Oryctolagus cuniculus: one gene and its partners. The protein of the gene in region 1 interacts with the protein of each later gene in a biochemical or structural test. Links are inferred from orthologs where the notes say so. Each region holds a gene or a part of one and is shown on either strand. Other genes may lie near its edges. The genes, in order: NCOA6, THRA and TGS1.

Evidence for each region.
Region 2: the proteins of NCOA6 (region 1) and THRA form a complex in vitro, tested with the Homo sapiens proteins (2 studies listed by BioGRID). The link is inferred for Oryctolagus cuniculus from reciprocal best matches to the Homo sapiens genes NCOA6 and THRA.
Region 3: the proteins of NCOA6 (region 1) and TGS1 form a complex in vitro, tested with the Homo sapiens proteins (2 studies listed by BioGRID). The link is inferred for Oryctolagus cuniculus from reciprocal best matches to the Homo sapiens genes NCOA6 and TGS1.

The regions. Positions count from the first base shown.
Region 1 is NC_091442.1:23,354,723-23,358,384, forward strand, and holds part of NCOA6 (nuclear receptor coactivator 6), read left to right. Parts: intron 1-1,887; coding exon 1,888-2,009; intron 2,010-3,662. UniProt on the Homo sapiens protein: Nuclear receptor coactivator that directly binds nuclear receptors and stimulates the transcriptional activities in a hormone-dependent fashion. Coactivates expression in an agonist- and AF2-dependent manner.
Region 2 is NC_091448.1:22,348,261-22,350,601, reverse strand, and holds the end of THRA (thyroid hormone receptor alpha), read left to right. Parts: coding exon 1-187; intron 188-766; coding exon 767-1,017; 3' UTR 1,018-1,796; downstream 1,797-2,341.
Region 3 is NC_091437.1:81,055,285-81,057,981, reverse strand, and holds the end of TGS1 (trimethylguanosine synthase), read right to left. Parts: intron 2,230-2,697; coding exon 2,107-2,229; 3' UTR 566-2,106; downstream 1-565. UniProt on the Homo sapiens protein: Catalyzes the 2 serial methylation steps for the conversion of the 7-monomethylguanosine (m(7)G) caps of snRNAs and snoRNAs to a 2,2,7-trimethylguanosine (m(2,2,7)G) cap structure.

The DNA of each region.
Region 1 (3,662 bases):
ACCTTTGGCTTGTCTCTCACAGCTTTCTGGGCTTTTTGTTTTATCAACCATAGCTTGAAAGGGGTGGGACCAGATATCTGGAATTTTTTAGCTATATAATTCTCTGAAAGTAAAGGTTATAGAATTACTATAATTGGAAATGAGAGAAGATATATGAAGAAGCAGATTATTGTAAGGATCTGAATGTGTAGGGACCTGATTCAGGTTCTAAATTTCTATATGCTGAGAATTCATTTATTACTTTAGCAGAGAGAGAGAGCTCCCATCCACTGGTTCATTTCCCCAGATGCCTGCAACAGTTCAAAACTGGATGCTGGGAAGTCAGTCTAGGTCTCTTAGTGAGTGGCAGGAACCTGATTATTTGGGCCATCACCACTGCCTTCTAGGGTATCCATTAGCAGAAAACTGGAGGCACTCCAGTATGAACCATGGACATCTTAACTACGAGGCCAAACACCCAACCCTGCTAAGGCTTTTAAGATAGAATCTATGTGGCTTGTGAAACTACACAGAATATAATGAGACAAAATACTTTCTAAAAGTGGGTGACCAGGGGCAGGCATCCCATATGGAATTTCTGGGTTAAAGTTCCAGCTCTACTCCTAATTCCAGCTTCCTGCTAATGCACACCTTGGGAAGCAGCAAGTAGTTGGATTCTTGTCACCCATGTGGGAGATCTGGATTGAGTTCCTGTCTCCTGACCTCCTAACTTCAGTTATTGAGGTCATCTGGGGAATGAACCAGAGGGTGGAAGACATCAGTCTCTTGTTCTTGCTCTCCCCCTGCCTTTCAAATAGGTTTTTTAAAAATAAAAATTTCAAAATAAAAATAGGTGACTGAAATGAGGGCCAAGGAAAGAAAAGCTGGAGGTGGTAAAGAAAGGTGCAGGTAGGAGTGGGATTACTAACAAAGTAAAAGATGTCAATACTCTGGTTCTTTGGGAATGGATATGTTAATAAATACACTTTTGGCTGGCGCCACGGCTCATTAGGCTAATCCTCCACCTGCGGCGCCGGCACACCGGGTTCTGTCCCGGTTGCTCCTCTTCCAGTCCAGCTCTCTGCTCTGGCCCGGGAAGGCAGTGGAGGATGGCCCAAGTCCTTGGGCCCTGCACCCGCATGGGAGACCAGGAGAAGCACCTGGCTCCTGGCTTCCGATCAGCGCAGTGCGCCGGCCGCAGCGCACCGGCTGCAGCACACAGGCTGCAGCGGCAATTGGGGGATGAACCAACGGAAAAGGAAGACCTTTGTCTCTCTCTATCTCACTGTCCACTCTGCTTGTCAATAAATAAATCAATAAATAAGTACACTTTCTTCCCCACTAAAAATGTAAATTACAAGTAAAAAGGAAAGCATCCCAAAGCCAATAAATATGTATGCAAATACTCATTCTGCAGCAAAATTAACTTTGTTGAGAGTGTTTTCCATCTTTCTCTGTTCTTTGAATACCATTTCCATCAGCCAACTTACAGCCTTTCTCAAGGTATTAGGAATTATTGGAGTTACCACTGTAATATTCACAAAAAAGAATATGGACTCCCTAGTTGACCATGATAGCTGCACTGAAGATAGTGTGGTTGATGGCCCTAAACTATGGTCAGGTCTTAAAACATCTAAGGGGTGGATGAGTATATGAAAATTGATGTATCAGAGATTTGTGAAAAGTACTTTGAATAAATACAGTGGTATTTCATTAAGTGGATTTAAACATTTTATGAAATTGTCAGGTTATTTTTTATGCCAACATTGGATATTTTATCCATACTAGAGAGAGGTAAATAAGGCTAATGCAAGCAGATTCTGGTTCTTTAGAAATAGGGGAGGTGTTAAACTAATTTCATGTATTTTCTACCCAGCTTATTCTCAGATATGCTGCTTATTTTTTTAGCACCCCAGATACTCGCCCAGCTGGTCTGGAAGATGCTGATCAGCAGCCATTGCCTGGAGAACAAGGGATTAACTTGGACAACTCAGGCCCTAAGCTGCCAGAATTTTCAAACCGGCCACCAGGTGATAAAATGTTAGCTAAAGATTAAGTGCTTATCATCATGTGTGTGACTTCATTTTCTCCAAGGAAATAGTAGAGGGATTTTTTTCCTCGGTATTATTATTTGCTAACCACTCTACTTCATGTGTCTAGCATTTTGAAATGTTGTGTTAATACTAAGTAAAAATTTCCAATATGACTTGTGAAGATTTGTACATTATGTTCAGATTTGTCTTTGTTATTTTAAGTTCTCATAAAAATCAGAAGGAAATAAAGATTTGTTTATATATATAAATATATACATATGTAAAAGAGACACTCATGTGCCTACCACCCTGCTTAATAATTTGATACATAGTACCCATACTATTGAAGTCCCCCTCTCTAATTGTAATATTATTCTTTTTTTTTTTTTAAAGATGTATTTAGAGGACAGCGCCTGCAGTGCCAGCATCCCATATGGGCACCAGTTCCAGTCCCGGCTGCTCCACTTCCCATCCAGCTCTCTGCTATGGCCTGGGAGAGCAGTAGAGGATGGCCCAAGTCCTTGGGCCCTTGTGCCAACATTGGGGACCCGGAAGAAGCTCCAGGCTCCTGGCTTTGGATCGGCCAAGCTCCGCCTGTTGCAGCCATTTGGGGAGTAAACCAGCAGATGGAAGACCTTTCTCTCTCTCTTTGCCCTGCCTCTTAAAAAGATTTATTTATTTATTTGAAAGAGTTACACAGAAAGAGAGTGAGAGAGAGAGAGAGATCAATCTTCCATCCACTGGTTTACTCCCCAAATGACTGCAATGAAGCCAGGAGTCAGGAGTTTCTTCCATATCTCCCATGTGAGTGCAAGGACCCAAGCACTTGGGCCATCTTCCACTGCTTTCCCAGGTTCATTAACAGGGAGCTGGATCAGAAGTGGAGCAGTCGGGTCTAGAACTGGTGCCCATAAGGGATGCCGGTGTCACAGGTGGTGGCTTTACGCATTTCACACAACACCGGCCTCAATATTATTCTATAAATGTTGAAAAATTATGCTGTAAAGTAAAAAGCTCCTAAAATTCATTCATTCAAAGTATTATAGAACAAAGGCCAACTGCCACAGTCTCTATTCCTGGCTGCTGTTCTGACTTGCAGCCTTATCCCTGGGACACAATGAAGATCCGCAAGCCCTTCACACTTAGACCATTCTTCCCCTGTGGAGGAAGGGCCATGTTTTGATTTTTTCCTCGTTATTCTACCTCCTTTTTGGCATGTAAATAAGAGTGACATTCTTCAAGTGTAAACTTTAATCCACCCATAATTTATATGTCTTAAAAGTGAATATTGTTTTCTAAAGGGAAATCCATCCTGATATCAAGATTTTGTGTTATTTACTAGTACTTGCGTTCTCATCAGTGAGTTGCAGCAGTATCGTTAAGGTTGGGAGGTCACCAGTCTTGGGCAAGTGGGTCCAGAAAGCATTGTGAGCACCCCTCAGAAATCTCATTTCTTCTTGGATGATTCTTGGGACCCTCACACTCATGTATTGCCCCTTTTCTGCAAAGTGGGAGCCTCCAGGATAAATTTGGCTAGTAATAGGTTTGAATTGCCAGACAGTATCTTAAAGCAAAACAAACCCTGAATTTAAATGTTTTTAAAATAGTATTTGCTCTGTGGTTCAGCACCATCTACGTGACTCCTGCTGT
Region 2 (2,341 bases), on another chromosome or scaffold:
CGCTATGACCCCGAGAGCGACACCCTGACGCTGAGTGGGGAGATGGCTGTCAAGCGGGAGCAGCTCAAGAACGGCGGCCTGGGTGTCGTCTCCGATGCCATCTTCGAGCTGGGCAAGTCACTGTCTGCCTTTAACCTGGACGACACAGAAGTGGCTCTGCTGCAGGCTGTGCTGCTAATGTCAACAGGTACCTGCTGGTCGGCTGCGAGGGCTCGGAGCGGGCCGGGAGCTGGGCCTGTGGCTCTCCCCCCCTCCTGGATCTTCCGATCTCTCTGCTGCTCCGGAGCCCATCCCCATCACCCAGGTCCCTCTGTCACGTAGCCTCTGCTCCGTCACCCCCCTATACCCCTGTCCCCAACCTCATCTCATGCCCCTGAGCCCCTGCTGTGTGTCCTGTCCTGTCTGCCCCATGCTTTTCTCTGGGACCCATCATCTCTGTCGTTCACATGCCCCTTAGCGTCTGTCCCCAACCCCCTGCTGTGCCTTAGTCCCATCTCTTGTCCCCTGGTGCCCTCCACACCCCTCCTCTCTGACCACCACCCCTCCCCAGGTCCTCCCTGTCCCCAGCTTCACTCTCCCGTGCCAGGCCCACCTTTCTGTCCCTCTGTCCTCTGCATCCATCCACGGCCCCCTGGGAGCTTCAGTCCTGTGCCCCGAGGTCCCGCCTGCACACGATTTTCTCTCCCAGCCCCTGTGCCTCAGTCTCCCATCCCCGCCTGTGTTTCTCAGCCACTGAGCCCTGGCGCCCTCCCTCCCTCCCCCGCAGACCGCTCGGGCCTGCTGTGCGTGGACAAGATCGAGAAGAGTCAGGAGGCGTACCTGCTGGCGTTCGAGCACTACGTGAACCACCGCAAACACAACATTCCGCACTTCTGGCCCAAGCTGCTCATGAAGGTGACTGACCTCCGCATGATCGGGGCCTGCCACGCCAGCCGCTTCCTCCACATGAAAGTCGAGTGCCCCACCGAACTCTTTCCCCCACTCTTCCTCGAGGTCTTTGAGGATCAGGAAGTCTAAAAGCCTCAGGCGGCCAGAGGGTGTGCCGGAGCTGGGGGGAGGAGCCTGGAGAGAAGGGGCGGGGCTGGGGCTGAGGGAGACCCCACCCCCACACCCCTCTTCTCTCCTTCCCGCTCTCCCTCGGATAGATTCCGCTCCCATACACACACCCCACACTGCCCAGGTCCCCCCTCAGAACCTCCAGCCCTGGGACAGGGCAACAAATGAACTTGCTATGAAAAGGACAGTGTGGGAGGCGGGGGGAGACCCAGTCCTCTGAGAAGCCAGGGGAAGGGAGAGAGAAACAGAGTGGACAAGCCATCTTGACTGTAGGGAGAGGAGGAAGGTGGGAGGGGGCAGATGCCCTCAACTCTCCCCCTGCACAAAAGAGAGAGACAGAGAGAGAGAGAGAGAGAGAGAGAGAGAGAGAGAGGGACACCCTGCCCAGTCCCTTGGCCGAGGTGTCCCCTCCAAGCTAAGGCCTCCTGCTCCCCCAGATGCCTGGGCTCAGAGGACGACTTGGCTCGGCGCCTCCCCTGGGGGTTAAATGTTATAGTCATTCTAACTGCACTTTGGAAACAAGCAAGGGGAGAAGATAGATGAAGAAAAACTAGACCAAGAAAAAGACAAAAAAAGAGCGCGAGAGAGAGCGAGAGCGAGCGAGAGCGAGCGAGCGAGAGAGATGATATTAAGTTATTAACTAAGGCTGGCCAGAGGGGAAGGACCCCCCCTTACCACCCCATGCACTTTGACAGCTGCCCTTCCTCCTCCTCGAATCAAAGAGAGTCCCTCTCCCAGCAGACCGCACCGGGAGGGCTGCCCATCAGAGCTGTGAGCTGACACAACAGGGTCCTGGCCACCCCCTTGCCTTGCCCCTCCCCCTGTGCCCCTTTGGCACCCCCAGCCCAGTTCTTCCTCCGCTCTCTGCCACTCGTGCCCGCTGAGTTCCATCTACCTCTCACGCTGGATGCCAGTTGGCCCCTCACCTCCTGTCCTGCTGCCCGCACAGCTCCCCATTCAAGTGCCCAGCCCCAGGGGCCTGTCCCTGTCCCCCGCCCCTCACACACACACACGTGCACACACACACACACGCACACACACGCACACCTTGGCACCCACATGGGAAAAGCTGTGGCTGCGGCTTCCGCCCTCCTCATGTCCTGCAGTATTAGCTATGGTCCAGATGCTGCTGCCCGGGGCGGGAGCTGTGCGTGAGCATCTCCCTGAGTCCCAGCCCCTGGGGGCGGGGGCTCGCTTGCCCTGTTTCCTGGTCTGTCTTCTGGGCTCTCTAACCTCTGCCCTCCTCCTTCCCTGCTCCTATACAATGCGCTCATCCTGACTCTGG
Region 3 (2,697 bases), on another chromosome or scaffold:
GGCATGCTATGTTAAATGACAAAAAACTGAAAAATTTGTTCATTTTGGAAATCTGCTTTTACCCTACCTGGCACCCCAAATGGCTAAGCAGGGTCACATGTTAGGCCTGGAAGTGGTATTCAATGCTAGTAGCAATATTCAAAAACTTCGCAAGTTTTTGATATATACACTGATGCTACATAAAGAAAAAATATGGAAGTCAAGAACATTTGCATAGGTTTTGCTAATGCAAATTAATAAAAAAGTAATTCCATCTTTAATGGGCAGCTGAATTGATATTGTATCGCAGCACAATCAGGCATAACTTATAAAGTTAGCATATACCAACAAAGTTTTCTTTTAATATAAGTTATTTTTGTCTTTTTTCCAGTACTTACTAGAAATTCCTCCACTTTATTTCAACTTCCCCAGCCCCATCTCAGCCAAAATTGTATTTTGTTTAATGTCTAACAAGCTTACATTATTAAAAGATAACGGTTTCAGATCCAATCCATATTAGTCAGAGTTCTATATCTATTTATAAAAATGAGCACACTTTTTAGACAAATAATTAAACACACATTCCTCCTTTCTTTGCCACTTTAATAGAAAAAATACAAACTTCTGTATTACAAAATATATTTCACATTGATTTTGTAATGGAAATTTTAAAAACACTTTCTAAAATGAAATATTAAAAAGCAAATTCCAGACGAATCAAAGACATCAAAACAAGAACATTCCAGAAAACACTAAAGAAATGTATATTCTAGGAGTAGGAAATGTATTTCAAAATGACGTAAACTCAGAAGGCTGAAGAAAAAAGAATGCCTGATTACATTAAAATTAAAAACTTATGCCTGGCCCAAATACATGTATAAAAAACAAAACAAAACAAAACAAAACAAAACCCAAAACATGTCAAAAGGCAGTAACTGGAAAGACATATTTATAACACCTACTAAGGACTGAGGGTTCTTTAATTGACAAAGAACTCATATATATTAATAAGAAAATGACAATTCAAGGGAAAATTTTCAAAAGAAGGAAACAAAAAAGGACAAAATACATGAAAATTATCACTAATCTCATTTATAATTAAGGAAACACACACAATCAGTAATTTATCAATTTCCTCACCCATCAGATAATGAAATGCTAGGCAGGGAAGGGTGGAGGGAAATGTGCATTTTAATTAGTGTGGGTCAGAGTACAAGTGGGCCCACCTTTATCGAGGCATTTTGACCGTATCTACCAAAATCAAAATGTGCAACTTTATGGGCATAACAGTGCATCTGTTCAGTAATAAATGTTATACTCAAGGACAGTGCAGAATCATTGATAACAGCAAAAATACTATAAACAGCCCACAGCCATCCATAAGGAACTGGTTAAACTAATTACTGCATATCCAGAAGATGGAGTACAGGGCAGTCGTTAAAAAAATGAGGTAGATCTATATGGATGTACTGATACCCAAAGGTCTTCAAGATAAAAAGTCTATACTTAAAAATACATTAAGCATTAAATTGAAAAAGAAAATGAACAGTGCATCAATAAAAAAGTGTCATAGGGCATACTGCAATTCCTTTCTGTCCTCCAAGGAATTATAAAACATTGTTACCTGTGATTATTCAGAATGGTGAATAATGAGTAGGGGAGGGAATGGGAGACTCAATTTTTCATTTGTACCATTTGGTACTACCTTAAATATGCAACATTATTTTTTTACTAGGGTTTAAATGAGTAGAATACACCTCATTTGCTACTTTCTTTATATCTATTTTTAAAAAAACAGTAATTGTTTTTTACATATATACATCCACAAAAATGTAAAAACGTATAAAATTTTAGAAACACACAAAGACACACCCTAAAATTAACCACAAGGGCAAGTTTCCCTTTTCCATATCAGACACTTACTATCCTATTGTACATAGTAATATTGTCCAAAAATTTCAAAGCACTTCATTAATATTCTTGAAGCTCCTATAAGTTTTCATCCCATATGGCTATAGAAGACCTTGAGTACAAAGTATCAGTGAGTTCAAGAAGACATTCTAAGTTTCTCATCTGAATTATGTTTTGACTACCAGGTGACCTCTCTGTCCTTGTACTGCCTCACAATTAAGTTTCAGAGGCTGGTCTTCTGATTAAGTCACCAAAATAGGCAGTGATGGTCTTCAGTTTATTGTTAAGAAAATTCTGTTCTATTTCCACTTGCCCTCCAGGTCCAGCTAAGGATGCCACCTACAAAGATGAACAGAAGAAAACCACACAATAAACACTATTTCAAAACAATTCTTTCATTCATATTCCTTTAACAATTAATAGGATGATCTAGCTTTTCAATTAAGTCTTTCAAACAATTAGGCTTTTCAAATGTACACTGTTACTTCCCAAGTGGGTGTAAAGTACAATATTCTGTGGCAGAAATACTAGTTGTTTCAGACATTTTTGCTATTATGGGAAAGACCATACTTGACTTCTCCAATGACATAAACTAAACTCAAAGGAAGAGAAATAAAGACAAATTTTCCTGACCATCTTTGTCCTGTTCACCTTCTTTGCATCTTATCCTCTCATTCATTCAATATTTATAAGATACTGGGACCACACCTGAGGGCAAGACAGCTGTGATCCAGGCTGCAAGTCCTACTCTCCCAAAGAGTCTTGCTTCTACTAATGACTTTTCCCTTCTGTCACTGGTCACTTCCT